Bombyx mori: one gene and its partners. The protein of the gene in region 1 purifies or fractionates together with the protein of each later gene. This does not show direct contact. Links are inferred from orthologs where the notes say so. Each region holds a gene or a part of one and is shown in the gene's direction. Other genes may lie near its edges.

What was found.
Region 2: the proteins of protein AAR2 homolog (region 1) and uncharacterized protein LOC778507 purify together in Homo sapiens (affinity purification with mass spectrometry; 3 studies listed by BioGRID and IntAct, with this or other methods). This does not show direct contact. The link is inferred for Bombyx mori from reciprocal best matches to the Homo sapiens genes AAR2 and C9orf78.
Region 3: the proteins of protein AAR2 homolog (region 1) and tetratricopeptide repeat protein 27 purify together in Homo sapiens (affinity purification with mass spectrometry; 3 studies listed by BioGRID and IntAct, with this or other methods). This does not show direct contact. The link is inferred for Bombyx mori from reciprocal best matches to the Homo sapiens genes AAR2 and TTC27.
Region 4: the proteins of protein AAR2 homolog (region 1) and protein ecdysoneless purify together in Homo sapiens (affinity purification with mass spectrometry; 3 studies listed by BioGRID and IntAct, counting the BioPlex papers as one, with this or other methods). This does not show direct contact. The link is inferred for Bombyx mori from reciprocal best matches to the Homo sapiens genes AAR2 and ECD.

Annotation. Positions count from the first base shown.
Region 1 is NC_085115.1:3,919,015-3,924,286, reverse strand, and holds the start of protein AAR2 homolog, read left to right. Parts: upstream 1-2,010; 5' UTR 2,011-2,113; coding exon 2,114-2,316; intron 2,317-2,589; coding exon 2,590-2,792; intron 2,793-3,214; coding exon 3,215-3,472; intron 3,473-3,818; coding exon 3,819-3,945; intron 3,946-4,194; coding exon 4,195-4,612; 3' UTR 4,613-5,272. UniProt on the Homo sapiens protein: Component of the U5 snRNP complex that is required for spliceosome assembly and for pre-mRNA splicing.
Region 2 is NC_085120.1:2,479,021-2,484,361, reverse strand, and holds uncharacterized protein LOC778507, read left to right. Parts: upstream 1-1,796; coding exon 1,797-1,992; intron 1,993-4,484; coding exon 4,485-4,969; downstream 4,970-5,341. UniProt on the Homo sapiens protein: Plays a role in pre-mRNA splicing by promoting usage of the upstream 3'-splice site at alternative NAGNAG splice sites; these are sites featuring alternative acceptor motifs separated by only a few nucleotides. May also modulate exon inclusion events.
Region 3 is NC_085116.1:3,139,214-3,144,450, forward strand, and holds the start of tetratricopeptide repeat protein 27, read left to right. Parts: upstream 1-1,757; 5' UTR 1,758-2,372; coding exon 2,373-2,427; intron 2,428-2,505; coding exon 2,506-2,888; intron 2,889-3,530; coding exon 3,531-3,792; intron 3,793-4,432; coding exon 4,433-4,667; intron 4,668-5,237. Other genes in the region: transmembrane protein 201 homolog, read right to left, coding at 299-492, 911-1,028, 1,109-1,191.
Region 4 is NC_085117.1:12,227,765-12,232,855, forward strand, and holds protein ecdysoneless, read left to right. Parts: upstream 1-1,685; 5' UTR 1,686-1,784; coding exon 1,785-1,998; intron 1,999-2,338; coding exon 2,339-2,541; intron 2,542-2,931; coding exon 2,932-4,203; 3' UTR 4,204-4,210; downstream 4,211-5,091. Other genes in the region: U6 snRNA phosphodiesterase 1, read right to left, coding at 27-172, 253-335. UniProt on the Homo sapiens protein: Regulator of p53/TP53 stability and function. Inhibits MDM2-mediated degradation of p53/TP53 possibly by cooperating in part with TXNIP. May be involved transcriptional regulation. In vitro has intrinsic transactivation activity enhanced by EP300.

The DNA of each region.
Region 1 (5,272 bases):
CAAATTACACTGAGTCAACTAGTGTAAACCACTAATTACGAACGACAGGTAAACTGAAAGCGCTTCTGGGTCCCGTCTCGTCGACTCTGCACTTCAGACGTGAAATTCGTCACCTGTTGAAAATAATTAGGCAAAAAAAATACGCTGTGTTAACAAAAAAAAATTGGTGCGGTGCTGCAGTGCACTGCTGTGTTGCCCACTTCACGCTGAAAAATTCGAAAAATCTAGACGTAATTCGGTCGGAATTTGTTTTGGCGACCGAAAAATGGATCTTTTTTTTTATTCCATTACTTTAAAGGACGAGACTATGTACGTATGTGAAAAAATATACCTACTTGATTAAGTCAAACTATATTAGAGACGTAACAGAAATGTAATAGGTAATAACAATACATATTTTTTTTTGTCTTATAAAATTCAGTATATAATTAAACTTTTCTCGGATGTGTTCTTATCTCAAATTCTGCATAAGACAAAACAAATTTCTTATTTCTCAGTTAACTTGAACATCGTCCGATCCGAACCACACCAGACTTTTTTATAAAAAATTAAGATGATGGAATAAAAAATACCATAAGGTTTTGCATTATGGTCTTTCCTCTGAGTTTTAATCACTGAATTCCTGTAAAATATAGTGCCTTGTCATATATTATTACTACTAAAGGGATTAACTATGAATATAATTTTAAAATCTTAATTATCATAACAAGATTAAACATACCAGTATACTTATATACTATGTTCGAAAGCATTCGCATTGATTACAGGGTTCTAATTGGGTCTTCGCCTTAATCTAGATTATCTATCACCTATCGTGCTCATCCCGTTGACCTGGTTTCTTAATATTGAGGGGGGAACAGAACGGGTTGTGTTGGACTCTGTACCTGACGGCCCCTACGGGAGATGAACGGAAGCTTCGCGCCCGCGCCGCCCACTCCGCCTTCTTCGCTGAGGACCTGAAGAGAGATCCCACTCCCTTTCGCACTCCTCAGCCTCATGGAACACCAGAATCAGTTCGCAAAGCCTCGCACGAACTCTTGTCCTTTAACATAAGATCAACGACAGTCGCAAGGAGATGTCCCTCCCCAGCACCACGATTAGATCTCACCGCGTGTTCTCCCGACGCGGGCACGCTTTGAGATGCGCTTCCGTTTTAAGATTCGAGTGGTGAGGTGGGAGTCTCAGAAGTCCGTACGATCAATATATTTCATCAAATTTGAGTTTCGTCGAAGTTTTTCATATACGCTCTGCTGACTTATTCTCTGTTCTATTATGAGTAGCTCCGTTAAGCGTTACAGAAATATAAATTAATGTACCTACCCTCCTGTCTTATGTTTTAGAGAAATTACTTTATAAAAAGCGTGATTCTGTGCTCATGTAGAAAAACAAATCCTAAGATAGCAGACAGATTTAAAATAACAAATTAATTAACTTAATAATAATATGCCGAAAATTAAACATGATATATTTATAAACTTAGTTTTTCAAATGAATTGAGTTATAAAGATAGTCGTAGGTAGCCATGCTGAAAAAATAAACAAATAGAACAAGTGAAGGACACATCACTTAGTTATCTATCTATCTATCTATCTCTTAGGCTTATGGCGTTTCCTTTTAGATTTCGCCAATGTCAAGTGTATTTAATACTCTGCTTTCTATAGCGGGCTTCGTGAACGAGCAAGGTCACAGATATTCACTAAGAATTAAGTGAGTAGCTAAGAATATTTGATGACAGGATCTCTGTTGATTTACCTAAAACAAATAAGACGCACACAATATATATTATACAGGGGTTAGTTCGATAACAGACAGACACTTAGTTACTGTTAAATACAATCGTATTGGGTTATGGTGCTTTTAATGTTTAAAACATTGTTTTACATAGTTGAGAACAAAAACATTATTTCAAACCTAAGAAAATTATTAAAAAATCTATTCACTTCAGTCTGCATTGTACCTACCTTTCACGTTCAGAAACATTCAAATCGGCACGCGTCGAGATTTTGACATTGACGTTTGACACTCACGAATGTAAACACATTGATTGATTGATTGTATGTATTTTTATCATACCATTAATTCATATTTCATTGTTTCGGGAGCATAGTTGGATATGGATCAAGAAACAGCGAAAAAGCTGCTAGTGGAAGGGGGCACGTTTGTATTCTTGAGAGTCCCTTCAGAAACCCAGTTTGGCATCGATATGCAGTGCTGGAACACGGAGGAAGATTTTCGTGGCGTTAAAATGATTCCTCCAGGCTTACATTATGTTCATTACTCTGCTGTCAGTAAAGGTACTGGCGATATTGCACCTAGGTAAGTGCGTTTTATATATACTTTAAAAAAACAATCCTAGTACTATACAAGGAATTCAAGTTTGGAGGTTGTTTTTGGAATCTTATCACTTAATTTTAATATGGTAATTCGATATCAGATTTACACTCAGAATTTACATATTCGAAGCACAAAATATATGTATACAGCTTATTAAGTTTCTTCGTGTATTGTTATTGAACTTATATGAGACTGATATCAATATTATTGTTACTTGCATACCTAAATAAATTACTTTTCTTGATTAAATTCCAGATCTGGCTTCATGCATTACTTTCACAAAAAAGAATTTCTTGTGAAAATGTGGGACAAAAAAACTGAAGATTTGAGCAAGGAAGAGATCAGTGATGAGAGCATCCAACGTTTGAAAGATAATTTATTTAATTTGGACCGACATCTTGCTCCATATCCATATGAAATATGGCAGAAGTGGAAGTTACTGTCTTCACAGATCACTGGTTGGTGTCTTCAATTAAAGAAATACTTGCCCTACAAATCTTGAATGAACTTAGTCTTGTTGAAGTTGGTGGTAGTTCACATTATGAGCCTGGTCATATTGGCATAGTGGAGCATATTGAGACTGGTCACTGTCCTCGCCGAACCCGTCGCTTGTGATGAAGGGCTTAATGAGTAAAATTAACCCATAGACACAGTCTACTGAGTTTCTCACCGGATCTTCTCAGGGGGTTGCGTTTCCGATACGGTGGTAGATTCTGCGAAGCACTGCTATTGCTAGAGGCAGTGTTAGCAACACTCCTGGTTTGAGCCCCGTAAACTTAGGCTTGTATCAGAAAAAACAATTCATACAAGAAACTAAAATATTGTGTTATTCCAGAATCTTATATCAATAATCTGTACTAAGTTTAATTTCTATTGTCAGCTGAACTAGCAGCAAAATTGGCACCAGAAAGTGGAATGATAAGAGCATCAGTTGAGCTTTTATCGATGACTGATGCAGAAAGACCAAGAGGAGTCAAGTCTTCATCTAGTTCAATAAGTCAGGAGAATGAAAAATCTCCCACTAAAGAGGATTTCAGTGAAGAACAGATTGCCGGACACTCAAGTGCTAAGAGAGCTAAAAGAATCACAAGGGAAGAGAAAGAAAAGTCATTGTTACCAGATTTGAAACCAGTTCCAGGTAAATTAATGAAACAAAGATAAATGTAAATAATATTTTTCCCCTATATATCTACTAAAATAAAACTACACGCCTAATTAATTACTGATTGTAGGACCTGTGAGGCTGCATGGATAGGTTATCACCAGCCTGCATATTTCTGCCGTGAAGCAGTAATGTGTTTCGGTTTGACTATACCTTAGAACTTATATCTCAAGGTGGGTGGCGGCATTTATGTTGTATATGCCTATGTGCTCCAGTAACCACTTAACACCATGTGGGCCGTGAGCCTGTCGTCTGTCCACCCATGTAAGCAATAAAAAATATAAAAAAAAATAAAAGAATTCTAAAATGTGAATCTTTACAGGAGCTGCTATGAGATTCACAGAAATACCTCAAGATAAATATCCACCGGATGCAACACCAGAGGAGATCACGAAACATTACTTAGATCAGTCATACTCATTAGAGCTCATGATAGCACAGCATAATGAGTAAGTATCTATTTTTATTAACTGTTAGTATTTTAAGAGAAATTTGAGGGTATCTTAATATAAAATTTTGTTGACTACATACTACATTCATATGTTGATTACATATACAGTTGAATGTCTATGATGGATATTTTAAGCATTGTTCAGTGCCGAAGTTATCAGGAAGCTAAAGTCAAGTCTCGACTCTTGACATGATTAAATGCACAAAAGCCAAAATCTAGAATTCTATATACGTGTTTTATTTTTCAGACCTCTACACATCATAGGAGAACTGCAATTCGCATATTTGTGCTTTTTGATTGGGCACTCCCTAGAGGCTTTTGAGCACTGGAAGAGCCTCGTCATACTCATATGTTCGTGTGACGAGGCCATACACAAATACAGAAGTGTTTTCTTTCACTTCATTAGGACTATTGAGGTGCAAATCGAAGAGATGCCCGAAGATTTCTTAGCCGATATAGTGATGAATAAAAATTTAGTATACAAGAAACTCCGTGAGTTTTTCCGCACGGCTTACGTAAGCAAAGTCGACGGCAGACTTTTGACGATGATTGAACGCTTCAAAGATAACCTGACCGACAAATTGCAATGGGATTTCACTGGTCTAGACGCTGACGATGAAGACGAGAGGCCGGTCGTAGTGAAACTCGACGATGGAACTCAATAGATTATATTTAATGGCTCCTCTTCACAATCGGCCATGATAGGCCAACAAACAATCGTCCATCATCGCCGCCATGATGGGGCAACTCTCCACACAATCGTGAACGTTTATTTACTGACTGTCTACTGATATGTTAAGACGTCTAGGTATCGATGATGGAAATCGAGGAGATCGCGGCTGCGGCAATATTTTTAGTTCTATATAGTCTATATAGTCATTTAGTTAATGTGCGCGAAAAAAGAATCGTGAAAACTTTTTTTTCTTAAATCCCTCTTGTAGACAGACGGAGTCGCCCATGGACTTCAGCAATGCAAGATGAAAGAAGATAAGGTGGTGGGTGGTGGTTATCAATCGGACCAAAACAAGGTCCACGCAACCATAGTTTTAAAGTGGACACAATTGACACACATTCGAGACAACTACATCCTGACTAATCGGCGATGGTGTGGACGCTCACACAATCATGGGCCATCATTCTTTTGATCTACCGCCACAACGCCGATTGCGCACGATCATACGCGATGATGGCCGATCACACACATTTATGCCCTCTACACTATCTTGAGTTTCTATAATCGCCCATCATGGCCCATTGTGAAGAGGAGCCATAAGGACGGTTTTCATATTTCATTTAACTTGGATGATCTGTGCAACCGACACTTT
Region 2 (5,341 bases), on another chromosome or scaffold:
CTAGGGAAAAATCAAAGTTTTAATGGTAAACATAAAATGATATTTTGTAAAGTTTGAATACAACTATGACTATAAATAGACCTGAAAACCAACCATAATCATCATTGGAACAAACAACTGATTCGAAGTAGAAATCGCTGCTCGCGTAGTAGAAATCGCGAAAGGCTGTTCGGGTATGTAGGATCGGACGATCCGCAGACGATGGTGGTGGCACGGCGGCCCAAGAATGGCATTTGAGACCCTACCCACTAAACAACTCCCCCGCACTTGCTCAGGCGTCCGTAGCCCCCGAGGTCAAAACCCGGGCGGGGTAAGGAAGTACCGTATTAAAAACCCCAAGGACACCCGGAGGCTTACGTACTTGCGGCCTCGTAACTTGCGACAACAGCAACCGTCTCCATTCGGTGAAGATTACGGGTTGGCCGGCAACCCGCCGAGTACAAAGAGCAGCACGGCTGATCACGGCCCGATACTCTAACGAGCAATCTCGAAGCCACGCTGGCAAACCGGTACCTCCCTTTGGAGGGCGTTACTATGTAGTTGAAGTCGGGAACATAACAACTAGCGACAGGAAGATGCAAAAGTAGCACCGGCTCACTACTAACACAAGTAACACAGAGTACCACTGCACACGGTACGCCGGCAAACCATCGGTGCCATCGGGAGGCTCACTCTCTAAGTGGAGCACTCTTCATCAAATGAAGAGCATTGAGAGCACGGCCCTCCTACTCGACTTCGTGCTGGTTTTGGTCCGCATCGGTGCGATCATATCTCTGGGAATGATGACCAAAAGCTGCCATTATCCGCCTCTCACGGAGGCGCACGGTTGGAGACCAGCAACTCCCTTGGGTTTCATTACATCCTACGTATATTACTGTTGATTGGTCTTTAAAGTAGTTTATGGCGTACCTTGTATTGAGTGATATCAAAGCTAATAGAGATCAGAGTGAGAAAGCTATGAGATATACCTTGAGACATGAGGTAGAAATCTAAATTATGTTGTATAATGGTCATCTTACTCTTCAAACTGGAACGCATGACAGCTTGGCAGTGGATGAAATAACTACCTAATGTGAGCCCTCATAGGCACTATCTCAGTATTTAGGTCGCCAAGTAGTTCTACGTTCTGGTTTGTTAAATGAACGAATTGTTATATTCTACAATTAGCGGTAGGTGACCTCTCGTTGTAGATGTGTACTAGCTCTGGTAATCACTTTATTGAAGTTGGGCCTTGAGCTCGTTCAGACGTCTATGCAATAAATAAATGTAATTTTTCCTTTCATATAATGAATGTATCTAAGTAAATTTTTGTAATTTTACTGAGACTACAGTATATTTTAAAGCATCTTATTTAATTTAATTTCATCATAATTACAGTATAAAATAAATAAATTTCATCTCATTCTTCTCCAAATCATTATTCTCAAAGAGTAAAATTTATTTTAAGTATATTTTATCTAGAGATTTTTATTAACTCAACACTGGCAACAATGACATTGCAAGCAGTCATTCTTTAAAAAAGGGAAATAAGTTATCTATGGTAAAAAGATCAAACATAAATAATGAATATGGCAGATTCAGATTCTCAAGAAAATCGACAAGTCGAAGAAATTAAATTGAAATCTAAGAAGCCTAGAAATCTTCGTACGCGTATCAAAGATGAAGACTCTGATGATGAGGAGCACATTTTGCAAAGACTTCAAGAAACAAAAGAAATTCAGAAACTTCGAGAAAGACCTAATGGGGTGAGCATCATAGCCCTGGCAACCGGCGAGAAAGTAACGTTGGAAGATGAAATGACTTGTAAAGATCCTTTTAAAGTTAAAACTGGCGGGATGATTAACATGCAAGCCCTTAAGAACGGGAAACTGAAGCAGGTGGATGATGCGTATGATACCGGAATAGGCACACAATTTTCAGCGGAAACGAACAAACGCGACGAAGATGAGGAGATGATGAAGTACATCGAAGAACAACTTGCAAAAAGAAAAGGTTAGTTCTACTTGAAAATATTTAACGAGCTTCCAAACATAAAAATTTACATTTTGCTTAAACAGTGGACCCCCGGTAATCCTGCCGCTGTCTAATCTGGCACCCCTTGTAATCCGAAATGTCTATTATTATTGAATATTTTTTGACAGTCTTCGCTAATGTACTTAGATAATGCATGATTGAACAGGTTACAACTGGTATGCGCCATCACTATTGTACTAGACGCTTAGGTATTGTTTTGGTTTTGATAGGTTAGTTTGAATTCGACTACTGATAACAAATAGGCATGCGCCCATTTCAGGCTCCATCTTGACCATGAAAGCTTAAGTTTTTTAAAGTACTTAAATAAAATAAAAGATGCTTATGGCCAGCAAGGGGTGGCTAGAAAGTTTCAAAAGTCGTCATGGCATTCGTAAAGTATTTTTTGTAAGTTTTAAAGTATTACTGACGTTAATTTTATAATAAAACGTAAGGTTTCTCTTGTATTTTTTAATTTACTAAATTCAATATACATAATGAAGTATGATTTGCATTTCAGAATATAACATACAGAATCTTATTACTGGATCTGTAATTTATTGGATTATAAAGTACTCTTTTGTAAAAAAATCTGGACTAAAGGGGGTCTTAGGCAGTACTTGTATAATTCGACAAATGTAATAGGTAGTTTGACACTGCCTTACAAAACGTTTGTCGGATTACAGGGGGTCCACTGTAATTTAATGGTTTTTTATTTCAAGACTGAAATTTAAAATCAATCAATAAAATAGTATTTGCATTTTCCATATCACATCCTTGAGGTTCTGTCACATCATAATCAATTACTAATTTTATAGATCCATTACAAGATCATTAAATAAACAGTATCTACATGTTTTCCTAGAACTCATGTAAATTTGTTTTTTTTTTGTAGGTAGTGGTTGTGACCAGTGTCTAGATGGGATTATATGTATATTTTGATATTACTAATATTACTAACACCTAAGCATATATTACATTAAGCTGCATAAGCACTTATTTGCTAAACTATTCTCATGGTATTATGATAACAACACTCCCAAAAGTACCAATAACAACTATACCAAGTTTCATTGCATCTTGAATGGTTTATATAGGAAGAAGAAAAAAAAAAGAAGAAAAAAACAGACTTAATAAACTTGTTAATATTGCTGCTTAAATGAAAATCTAGTATCAATTATGTAAAATACCACTCACTAAGATTCTATATTTGGTCCGAATCTGTAAAAAATATTGTATTGTAAATACTGTAGTAAGTATATTATACACTCAATTGAATTGCACATACCCTACAGAGACACCCACATCCCAACTTAAACAACGTTTAGACATACATGCCTCTTAGAAATATCATGTATGCTTAAATGAAAATTATTGTTTTTACAGGTTGTATGATATTAAGATAGTATAAGTTAGTTGTTTTGTATCTTTGGGTGCAATATTTGGAGCAGGTTTTATGCATAAGTGTGAAGAGGGCTAACCTCTGTGATACTGTTTTTATTGACTGCAGATATTAATAATTTCTTTTGAAGTCGTCGTGGCCTAAAGGATAAGACGTCCGGTGCATTCGTGTGTAGCGATGCACCGGTGTTCGAATCCCGCAGGCGGGTACCAATTTTTCTAATGAAATACGTACTCAAGAAATGTTCACGATTGACTTCCACGGTGAAGGAATAACATCGTGTAATAAAAATCAAACCCGCAAAATTATAATTTGCGTAATCACTGGTGGTAGGACCTCTTGGGAGTCCGCACGGGTAGGTACCACCACCCCGCCTATTTCCGCCGTGAAGCAGTAATGCGTTTCGGTTCGAAGGGTGGGGTAGCCGTTGTAACTATACTGAGACCTTAGAACTTATATCTCATGGTGGGTGGCGCATTTACGTTGTAGATGTCTATGGGCTCCAGTAACCACTTAACACCAGGTGGGCTGTGAGCTCGTCCACCCATAAAAGCAATAAAAAAAAAAAAAAAAAAGCTTATTGATACTTTATATTTATATCACATCAAAATAATTAGTTGGAAGCATACCCATGAAAAAAAATGTGTGTTACATGCACATAACTTGGGTTACTCAGTAAATAAATGCACAAAGATATGTTGATTGGAAACTTGAAATGGTAAATAGATTGTATAGTTTGTTATTGGTGGTAGGACCTCTTGTGAGTCCGCGCAGGTAGGTACCACCACTCTGCCTATTTCTGCCGTGAAGCAGTAATGCGTTTCGGTTTGAAGGGTGAGGCAGCTGTTGTAACTATACTTGAGACCTTAGAACTTATATCTCAAGTTGGGTGGCGCATTTATGTTGTGGATGTCTATGGGCTCCAGTAACCACTTAACACCAGGTGGGCTGTGAGCATGTCCACCCATCGAAGCAATAAAAAATAAAAATTTAGGTCCCTACATAGCTGATAGTATTATTTATAATCGTTTAGATACTAATATAAAATTAACTTGTGCTTTGTAAATTCCAGAGGGATGTGACAAAGACAATAAAGACCACAACCATACAGAAACACTAAAGTATTTGTCTCCCGAGGAAGCAGCCTTACTTTCCTTGCCAGACCATTTGAGAGTCTCTTCAAATCAGAGGTCAGAAGAAATGCTTTCTAATCAGATGCTCAGTGGTATACCAGAAGTAGATTTAGGCATTGACGCGAAAATAAAAAACATTGAGGCAACTGAAGAGGCCAAGATGAAATTAATATGGGAAAGACAAAACAAAAAAGATGGCCCATCTCAATTTGTTCCAACAAATATGGCCGTTAACTTCGTTCAGCATAACAGATTTAACATGGAGAATGATAAAAAACGAAAAATTGAAAAAGTTGTAGTGCCCAAAACAGAAATTAGCGTGATTGATGAGAACGTTGATAAAATAGTTAAGAAAGCTAAAGGGGAAAGAGCAACTGATGATTATCATTATGAGAAGTTTAAAAAACAGTTTAGAAGGTGTTAAAATGGTTGAGGGGAATTAACTATAAGGAAACGAAAATTGTATTAAAAATATGTGATTAATGTAAAAACTTGCAGCGGAGTGAGGGTTTGACTTCATATTACCTGATTCTCTTTTGTGATGTACAGAGCATTAGCCTCTATTCATCAGACATGAGATTCATACCATTCTTGTAACTATAAAATCAAATCTGTGGTCAAATTGTGTATGTTATCTTTATATGGAAACAATTATGATTGTTTTTCAGTATAATTGCTAAAAAAACCCTTTCATATTCTATGTTTCAACTTCTGATATAGTTAATTCTTGACAAATTCATGAGTCAGCAAAAATTCAAATCCAATTAATCTCAAATTTCCATGACAAAACCAAATC
Region 3 (5,237 bases), on another chromosome or scaffold:
CTAGTATTTTTTTATTTATTGCCTAGATGGGTAGACTAGCTCACAGCCCACCTGATGTTAAGTGGTTACTGGAGCCCATAGACATCCACAACGTAAATGCGCCACCCACCTTGAGATATAAGTTCTAAAGTCTCAAGTTTAGTTACAACGGCTGCCCCACCCTTCAAACCGAAACGCATTACTGCTTCACGGCAGAAATAGGCAGGGTGGTGGTACCCACCCGCGTGGACTCACAAGAGGTCCTACCACCAGTAATGAAGTAGTGTAAGTTAAATGTGACTGTCACTATGTTCCTAACCTGTAATTCTCAATTTCTTCATCATATTTCTTCTCATTCATTGGTACAAAATTGGCAAGTTGTGTCACCTTTAACTGCTGGTTTATGTTACACATTTTGCACAAGCCATTGTTAGGTAGTGTCCTTTGAAATACCTTTGGGGTTTTTGGAGTTTCTTCAACATTATTGACTATAGGCTTATTGTAATCCCCATCCTGAAATTTAATATTTTATAGCTCGTGAGGTCACCTTGCACAAATGCTAAGTCAATTACATTAGCTTGGTAACAGTGAAGAGTGATATCATGAAAACTACATTTACAATTTAATCTAACATTTTTCACTATAATTATATTAAGATCAGTGGTAGTTTTAGAGGCCAAGACTCAATAGGGCCTATGAACAGTTATCGCCTTTTTTATATTGTATGTATCTTTTTAAAGACGATATTTTAGAACTAAAAATATTATTTGGAAAATAGCCAAATTTCATAAAAATACTTTACAGGTTTAAGATTTAAGTCACAATAAATTTTTAAAAGAAAATAAGGCGATAATTCAATAGCGATATTTTTGTTTCGATATATCAGAAACTTTTTACTATTACTATAACTGAGTAGGTAAATTAACCATACCTCAGTGAAGCCGTTATATTGTTCACACTTTGGACAAGTCCAGCTGTTGCGTTCTATAAATTTTACCCAGAAATTTGAGTTGCAGAACCAGCAATTAACACGCCACGACAATAACAACCTGTAAATGCAAAATATTAATTTTAGAATAATGTAAAGATATCGGCGGGAAAGCTTTTTATATCGCTGTCTTATTCTTACCGCAAATTATATATCAATTTAAATATTAAGGTTATGCACATAGCAGATGTTATAAAGATTAGTATTGATTCCATTTCATGCATATTTTAATATATACGACACTTGTTTCATTAACTAAAAAATCATGTTGCTTATCCTAACCTAAAATGACATTGTCAGCCATTTTCCTTTTGATTAAATTCGCTTTTTTTAAGGGATTTTATGACCTGGTAACTAAGACCTTTAAGTCAAGGATTAAATTCACTTTTTCTTTCAAAGATTTCGATGGCCATTAGAGTATCATCTTTTTAGCCTATGTTGATTGTTTTAATTTTAAAATTATTTTCAACATTGTTATAATTTATAGTAGTAATTTACAGGTTTTAATGTAATCGAAAAACAGCTTCACAGACTACAAATTTATGCTTACATATGCGTGCGGTTTTATTATATACATTTTTGTTTTTTTAATATTATTTCACTGGTTTGCAGTAGCGAATATCATGTTGTTGATTAAAACAGGAATTTATTTATCAAGCATGTACCACGCAATTTTCAAGCATGCAAACTGGCTCAGCATAAACCTATGTGACATCCTCATTCCACTTAGACCATAGCTTGAAAGAAAAGCTGAATCTTTGACATTTCGGTTCACATCCTGGGTGTGAACACCTTTCATTTATCACTCGCCTTAGATCAGCACGAGGGCGGTAGTATTTAACGTATATTAGGTTTCGTTGGCCAAAATATGTAACCCGGCCAGCTTGTGCTTTTCACTTACGATTATATATAAAGCATGTTTTTATTAAATTATATGATTGACAGAAGACAATGGAATGGTGTTTTTGACAAATACCTGAATAGTGATTTCTTGTGAATTATTATATAATAATATTATAAAACTTTTAGTATTCGAAATTCCACAAGTGTGAAGAAATTTTATGAAATATCTGAACATATAGTTATAAAATAACTTCCCAGATTCACCTACAAAGCCAATTACAGGAATAATACCATTATTTATTGAGGAGATTAATGATTACGTCTGTAAAACAAGTTGGCTAAAAGTCGAGGTGGTCGCGAACAAATCGCAAAAAACATTTAAGAATTGTAAATGAATGTTATCTATGCTTGTAATTTGAGGTTATAAAACACAAATTTGAAGATTTATGAAACATCCTTGTAAACAAAAAAACTCGAGATAGAGTAATTTTTAACTTGTAACTTCGTGATCAGTTCTTTAGATAATTTAAAGATATTCTTTTATTCAATTGACTTCCTAAAAATGTCACATGAACTATTATATCTCTGCAACTTTGATGATAATCCTGATACAATCAGTGAGGAAATGTTTGTTAATAACATTTAATTTATTTATTTTTATATTTGAATTATAAACATTTATATACATGTTGCAGTTGATGATAAAATCAAGAAGCTATGGTGTAATGAATGGTGTATAGAAGATGTAAACTTATGTAAAGAGTTATTTACCAGAAGGTTAGAAACAGATGAACTAAAAACTCTTCTAAAAACACAAAGTGATTATGAAAATTATTCAAGTAATATGCTGGAAATGGCTATAATTTCTCTACTAAGATATTGTGACTACAACTGGAATCCGCATCCCGAAAATTTTGATATAAATGAATTTTTTAAGAATAAATGGCCAAGTGATATTAATATTAATGAAAAAATGCAAAGAGATTCAGAACCGTTGCAAACAAATATCAGGCATGCAGAGTTATTGTATTTTTCAGATCAAATATTTAGTACTCTATCAGGTATTGAGCCAACTTATGTAAGTATACCCTTGCCGATATAACACCTAATATATTATTGAATTTTTAACTAATGTTTTACTGTCATTGTCATACGTTATAATGATAACAAACACCAAAAATAATACACATAGTTTTCAAATAGTATAGTATTATATCAGTAAAAGTATCACTTAGCAAGTTGAATGCCACATAAAAAATTGAGTATTTTCATTCAGGCCGTGGTGCTTACCAGTGAGCCTTTTCTTACTGAGATGTTCAGGCCATAAGTGTCACCTGTGAGCCATGTGAGCCTTTCAACAAAAATTCATTCATTTTCAAATCCAATCAAAAGTTGTAGGTTTTATCATGATTTATAACTTTTCGAAGTATCTTATAAACTAGACGGTAAAAGTTGCTAATTTTTAACTTCTGTGGATTTTATAAATTTTAGAAAGAAAATCTCTAGTTGATAAAACTGTTTCTCTGATTTTGGTTTGACTCGAATGGTATAGTATGCTAGGCCCAATGGTGGGCTGCATGTTGTTCAACATGTTAAACGCAGTTACATATATATGCTATATTACATATATAGCAGCAAATTTATGCTATTAGAATTTCTTATACAACAGACCTGATAATATGAAACTTAAACACAATTAATTTTAATTAAATATCCACAGTTAAATCTATGGTGGAACTTCCGAAGTAAAGTAGCTCACCAAAGAGCATTAGAAGATACAAGTGCTACACTGTTTGCTGAACTTGAACTCATAATAGCTAAGCTTTCAAATAAAATGCAACAATTGCAAGATAAACCTCGAATTAAGTTATTATTATGTTTAGAAATAGCACAAGCATACCTCATCTATGGAAGGATTCAAAAAGTAGAGGAGTATTTACTTAAAGCAAGAGAGATTGCTGGGTTGAAGCTAGAATTGACGGGTATACATATACATTTTTTTTTTTATTTCAATATAATTGCATAACTAATTATTGTTAATTATTTTTTTACACATTATTATTCTTTAATATGGAAGTCATCATTGAACATGTATTATTTCAGTAGAGAAATTAATACTTGCCTGCAGGACTAAAACAGTAATGTAGTCCCATTGCACAGTGCAAGTACACCAAGCATCTTATTTTTTTGGCCATGATCACTTCATTTGTCTTAACAATTAGTAGAGATCTACTCTGGCTGTCTGGCCTGATTGATGTTAGATAAGAATTAAGTTCCAATAGTATTAGAATACCTCTAATTATAACAGATGTTTTTAATACCACAAGCATTAATTGTAATAATAAATAATACCCGTTGTGGGAATAAAAGGCTAACTACCGGCACTCAGTCACCCAATAATAGAGGTAAAAGATATGCAACAATACAGGTTGACACACAACAATCAAGGATGGACAACATAACATGTCATTCAGCTGCATAGAGCATACTTATCCCCTGATCAATAATTATCTAATAAAAGCACAGGCCTTCCTTTATTGTGATGGCCTATATTAGCCTATCTACGCAATGTGCATTGATTATCACACTGTCAACTAATCGGATTGTTCATATCTAATTTAGGGATACTCGGCAAAAGAACAAAATATCAACAGAATGCATTACCTCAATTGGCATTAACTAGTGATCTGGATTCTACTGTTGAACGTCCCTCAGCTGAAGAGAGTCATGGTACTGCAGACTTACCAACTGATATTGAACTCCAAGATGATGTCAGACTTGATAAGATTCAATACTTGGAGAAGATCACACAAACTCAGTTGCCTAGTTTGGAGCAAACATTGTGTTTGCTGACTGTGTTAGTAATTTGCATACATATTTATTTATATCCATACACATATAAGATAATACAGGAATTATAAAGACTATAATATTAAATGTTGAAATAGTAGATTTTTAAATTCGATGAACTTAAACAGCACCCAAGACTACCTCATAACAGAATAAGGACGCTGGGTAGTGTAAATGTAGATGCAAAAAATGTCTGTGTCCTATTTTACTGTACAATGTTGTTGCATTGATTATGATTTATGTACTGCTGCTATTAATGCTGTTATACTATTGATACTTCCTTTCTTTTGTTTTGGGGCAAGCAGCATTATTTTCCACCTTAATCAAGTGACATAAGTCAATCTTTAGCTTAGAAAAATAAGCGTTTATTTGAAAACATTAGTTAGATACATAATTCTTCAGAGATTACAAAGACGTCATGAGTTAGAAATGCACCGTATCAACTCGACAAAGAATCAAAATAAGAATGTACATTATGTCTAATAGGATGACAAGTATTTAACACAATACTTTCCAATATTTTGACATTATTTTCAAATTGAAAATATTTTCTAAAAAAGCTTGTACCCATAAAAGT
Region 4 (5,091 bases), on another chromosome or scaffold:
ACTTTTCCTATAAAATCTTTACATACATTGCACATAGACGAAAGTAGCCCAGTTTCCTCTTACATGTGGAAAAGAACGTTTTCGGCCTTTATGTTTTTGATGATCGTCTATGTGTGTTTCTTCAGTTAAAACTATTCGCACACGACTGAGATCTGGAACTGGTAATTTCACTCTGAAACAAATAAAGTTTATTATCAGGAATATGTTGATAAAAAATAATCAAAAATCAAATAATAATGCAGGTAGTATGACCTTTTGTACAGATGTTGTTCAGTTTCACTGTCACTATTCGTTGAATCAGATCCGTAATCGTTGATATACGACAGACAAGACATGAGTTTAATTGACAAACAGCCGTGAAGATCAAATAGTATTTAAGCACAAGCGACGAAAGACGACAGAAATCATAATCCTAAATATCAAGTGTAATAAACTAGGGACAAAACTAAAAGTATGCAATAAAAACATGGAAGTGACACTCAATGTATAATCTATGCATGGATTTTATGACCTGGTAAGTAAGACTTTTAGGTCATGTCATGTTTGATTTATATTCTTATTTTTATGAAAAACTAGCGACCTGCCCTCGCTTCGCTTCGGAAACTGTAATTTATTATTGTTTTCTCCACTATTTAATGGATGTTATTATACATATAAACCTTCTTCTTCAATCACTCTATTAATTAAAAAAACCGCATCAAAATCCGTTACAAATAAATAGTTTTAAAGATTTAAGCATACATGGGGATATAGGGATAAAGAAAGCGACTTTGTTATAAACTATGTAGTGATGATAATATGGAGTGAAATGAAATGAATGAATTTACTGGTGGTAGGACGTCTTGGGAGTCCGCGCGGGTAGGTACCACCGCCTTACATATTTCTGCCGTGAAGCAGTAATGCGTTTCGGTCTGAAGGGTAGGGCAGCCGTTGTAACTGTAGTGAGATATTAGAACTTATATCTCGAGGTGGGTGGCGCATTTACGTTGTAGATATCTATGGGCTCCAAAAACCACTTAACACCAGGTGGGCTGTGAGCTCGTCCACCCATCTAAGCAATAAAAAAAAAGAAGATTAATTTGAGACATTAATCAACTGGGATGAAATAAAATGAGATGAGATGATATGGGATGAACTATAATCTCAGTAAAATGGTGGTCATTTACAGAGTTTTTTTTAGTATGCTAGTGGACTTTTTGGCTGGAACGCGAGGAGTGAAGTTGTATGATTTGTTTTATTTTGTCTATTTAGTGTTTCTTCGGGTTTAAATGTGTAATAATGGTGATTTATTAACTGTTTAGTATCTGTGAAAGTGCACAAATGTGGGAAAATGACATAAAGCCGCTGAACGTAACTTCTCGGGATCCTCCAAAAAGTTCCATCACTGAAAAAGCCTTAGTAAATGACCACCATTTTACTGAGATTATTTTTCATACCATATCACCTCATCTCATTTCATTTAATTTCACTCCATATTATCATTTTTTCATAAAATAAGAATATAAGCGGTAGGCAGCGGCTTGGCTCTGCCCCTGGCATTACTGAAGTCCATGGGCGACGGTAACCACTCACCATCAGGTGGGCCGTATGCTCGCTGCCTACAAGGGCAATAAAAAAATTATAATATATATATATATAAATTAAAATTAGACATGACCTAAAGATTATAGTTACCAGGTCATAAAATCCCTAAAAAAAATAGCATGCTAGGCCGAATAACCATAGACCTTTAAAAGTTTCATATTCAGTGTAATTAACATTGAAATTTATATTTGATTGAAGAAATGTCTTTCAATAAAAATGCAGTTTTTTCTGAACCATTACACGAAGATACCGTATATTGCACGTTTTATTCTTTATCATTGCTTGAAAGATCACAATGGGTGTCATTGTGTGACCAAATCAATGAAACAATCTTAACTTTGTCAAAAGATTACATCTGGCATAGAGATGTTTTCAAAGTCTTTCTACCAGTTTATGAGAATAAAAATCTACACAGTGAGTACAAGTAGTAGTACATACAAAATATCAGAAGAAAATTTTATACACCATTTTAAAAATAAGTTAATCCTATCCTGTTTGTAGAGAATAAAAAAACAAAACCTATAAACCATTATTTTTGCAGAGAGCGACTGAAAAAATAAAATATTATATTAATTGAGAAATTTCCTATAAGCCAAAGAAACAAAGAGACAAACAAACTGATCATAATTGATTAGACACTTGTTTTATACACATTAACTTGAAAAAGCCTTTGTTGAAATTTAAGACGTTTTTTATAATTTTAGAAATGTTATTAATCAATTAAATGTTATTTTATTTTATCTTTTTTTTTCAGACTATCCTATGCATTTAATTAATGTAACATGTTTTGGTGACAATATTGAAGATGAATGGTTCATAGTTTACCTTGTAAAAAATATAACAAAGCTATACACTAACATAGTTGTACAAATTAAAGACAGTGATGGTGAATTTTTATTAATAGAAGCTGCAAATTATTTGCCTTCATGGGCAAATTCAAATACTACAGAAAATAGAGTAAGTGTTGTGTGATATGAGGGTAGGACAGCTATTATACAATAAGAGATTTTTGGCAGTCTCAAGGCATTAGCTATCACTTAGAATTCTTTCTGATCTCCATTCCAATTTATACCAGTGTATCCAGTTTATACATAATAGATTGAGTTTTGCCTGTTTAGAGTAATCTACATTAATTGACATTCATGAACTTATGGAATAGATATGAAATCATTAGCTTTAATTTAAAATATAAATAATATAAAAATACATTTGTCAAAATGATTTTCATACTGAATTTTAATTCAATTTCAGATAAAGTAAGTTTTTAAATCATACAACATACATTCATAAAATCACTAATGCTTGAAAATAAAATATTTGTACTTAATATACACATCATTTTTCCAGGTGTTCATTTACAACAACAATTTACATATAATACCTCCACATGTGGCAAGTATAGATGAGAAGTTAGAAATATCAGAAGCATTAAAATACTTGGAAATCAATAAAGACACTAAGTCAACACATGAAATTGAAAATGCTATATCGTTAAGAATTGAGAAGTTTTCTAAACATTTAAGTGATTATTTCCATACATCAGTTGTTAGACTTCCAATAGAGGTAGCTACTTTAGTGAAACTTGAACCTCAATACATTGCTAACTTTATTAATGCCTATTGTAATCATGAAGAATCTAAGTCCTGTCCTGTGATTAATTATGAACATTTAGTGGATGTTCCAGTGAAGTTTACTAAATTCTTGTATGCAATATTGATGCAGTCAAAACCTATTAAACATTTTAGTAAAAGAAAATCCACAAATGATAAGAGCACTTTACTTGGTTTGAAAATTTCCTATGGTTATCAAATTATAACCAACTCATCAAATGAGGTTTTTTTAACCAATGCATATAATAAATTTATTGCTACTTTAAGGAACAATGGTTATTTTAAAGGTAATTTAGAGGGTTCTAGGGATTATCAACAGCTTTTAGAAAAAGCTAAGGATTATTTCTTAAATACTGAATGCTCAGTAAGTTCTAATGCATCTTACAATATTGCAAAAACACTAAGTTCAGAAAATTTCACTCAAGAAATGGAAAATATAAAAAATAATAGTACAAATTTGGATTTCTCAGATGATAACGATGACTGGATGACCATTCATCCTGATGAGTTAAATAATACATTAAATTCACGCTATGGCCAAAAATCTAAATTTACAGTAAAAAGTGAAATTACTCCAGAGTCGATAACAAAGGACCTTAATAATTTTCTAAATAATACTTCAAACTTTGAGGGGATTGAATCAGAATATACTGATAATAATACTATTGAATTTGAGGCAGATGAATTTCAATCTTGCATTGAGAAGTTTTTGGGATTATTGACTATGAATCAAAATGATGTGCAAGAAGAGTCAGATTTATTAGATGATGAAGATTGTATTTCCGAAAATGGAGATATTACGGAAGAATTAGAAGAAGAAATGAAATCTAAACTGGGAAATGATGATATAGACTCATTACACAATCAGAAAAATATTTTACAAAATTTCTTGCAAAGTATTAAAGAAGAAAAAGCTGCATCTGGTCCTTCCAGTAATCTACTACAGTCAATAGGCCTTAGAAAAACAGAATTATTAGACTCAGATGATGATGATGATAATAAAACATAATAACTTAGTGATTTGTTTTATTGGCCTTCATGGGTTGAATAATTCAAGGCTTGTCAGTGTTTAGTGGATATTGGAGTCTATAGACAACCATGTTGTCTTAATGCATTAGCACCCAGCTGGGGCGAGTCTTCAAAGGTGATGGTCGATTTATGAGAGTTCAACAGAAGGCCGCACGACAGGGAGCTTTAGCATGTCATGTCCGGAACGAAAAATGAAAGATAGTCAAATAAGTGGGTCCTTAAACACTACCTTCTATCTGCAGCGACTGTCGCGTTGACTGGGAAATAATTTGCGTGCCTCCTCAGCACGAGGAGGCTATCAAGTAGGAAATTCGACCTCGGCCCAAAAAAAGAGAATGTTAAATTTTAAAAACAAAAAATCTTAGTAGGTATCTATCTACAGTGTCTACATAAATATTTTTATAAAGGCTTGATGTGAAAGATATAAAACTAACTAAATTCAAAGATTAAATGGCTTTCGCCGAAGCACCAAACGTCGGAATGTTAAGAAATCTTAGAATAGAAATTTTTTTTTTTATCAAATTACATTATGGACCTTAACACCCTATAAGTTAAAGAAAATATAGGATTGCAGTGATCGCCTTGTACAAAGTAGTAGTAGTGGTAGTTTTAAAAGTAGTAGTAGTAGTATAGAGCCGTCGGTCATATTCCAGACACTTCAAAAGCGTGGTCTCAGCTGTATGTTCGTATATTGGACTATCACAGATACAACAAAACTTCGTCTGTCGAAGACCAGAAAAGATCGGGGTGGCAGCGTGCTGTTGGAACTACAAAGGCTGTTAATGCTGTTAAGCCAGAGTTCGTCGAAACCCCATTAGGAAGCAAAAAATCTAATAATGTGGTAAAAAAAATATATATCATAAATTAG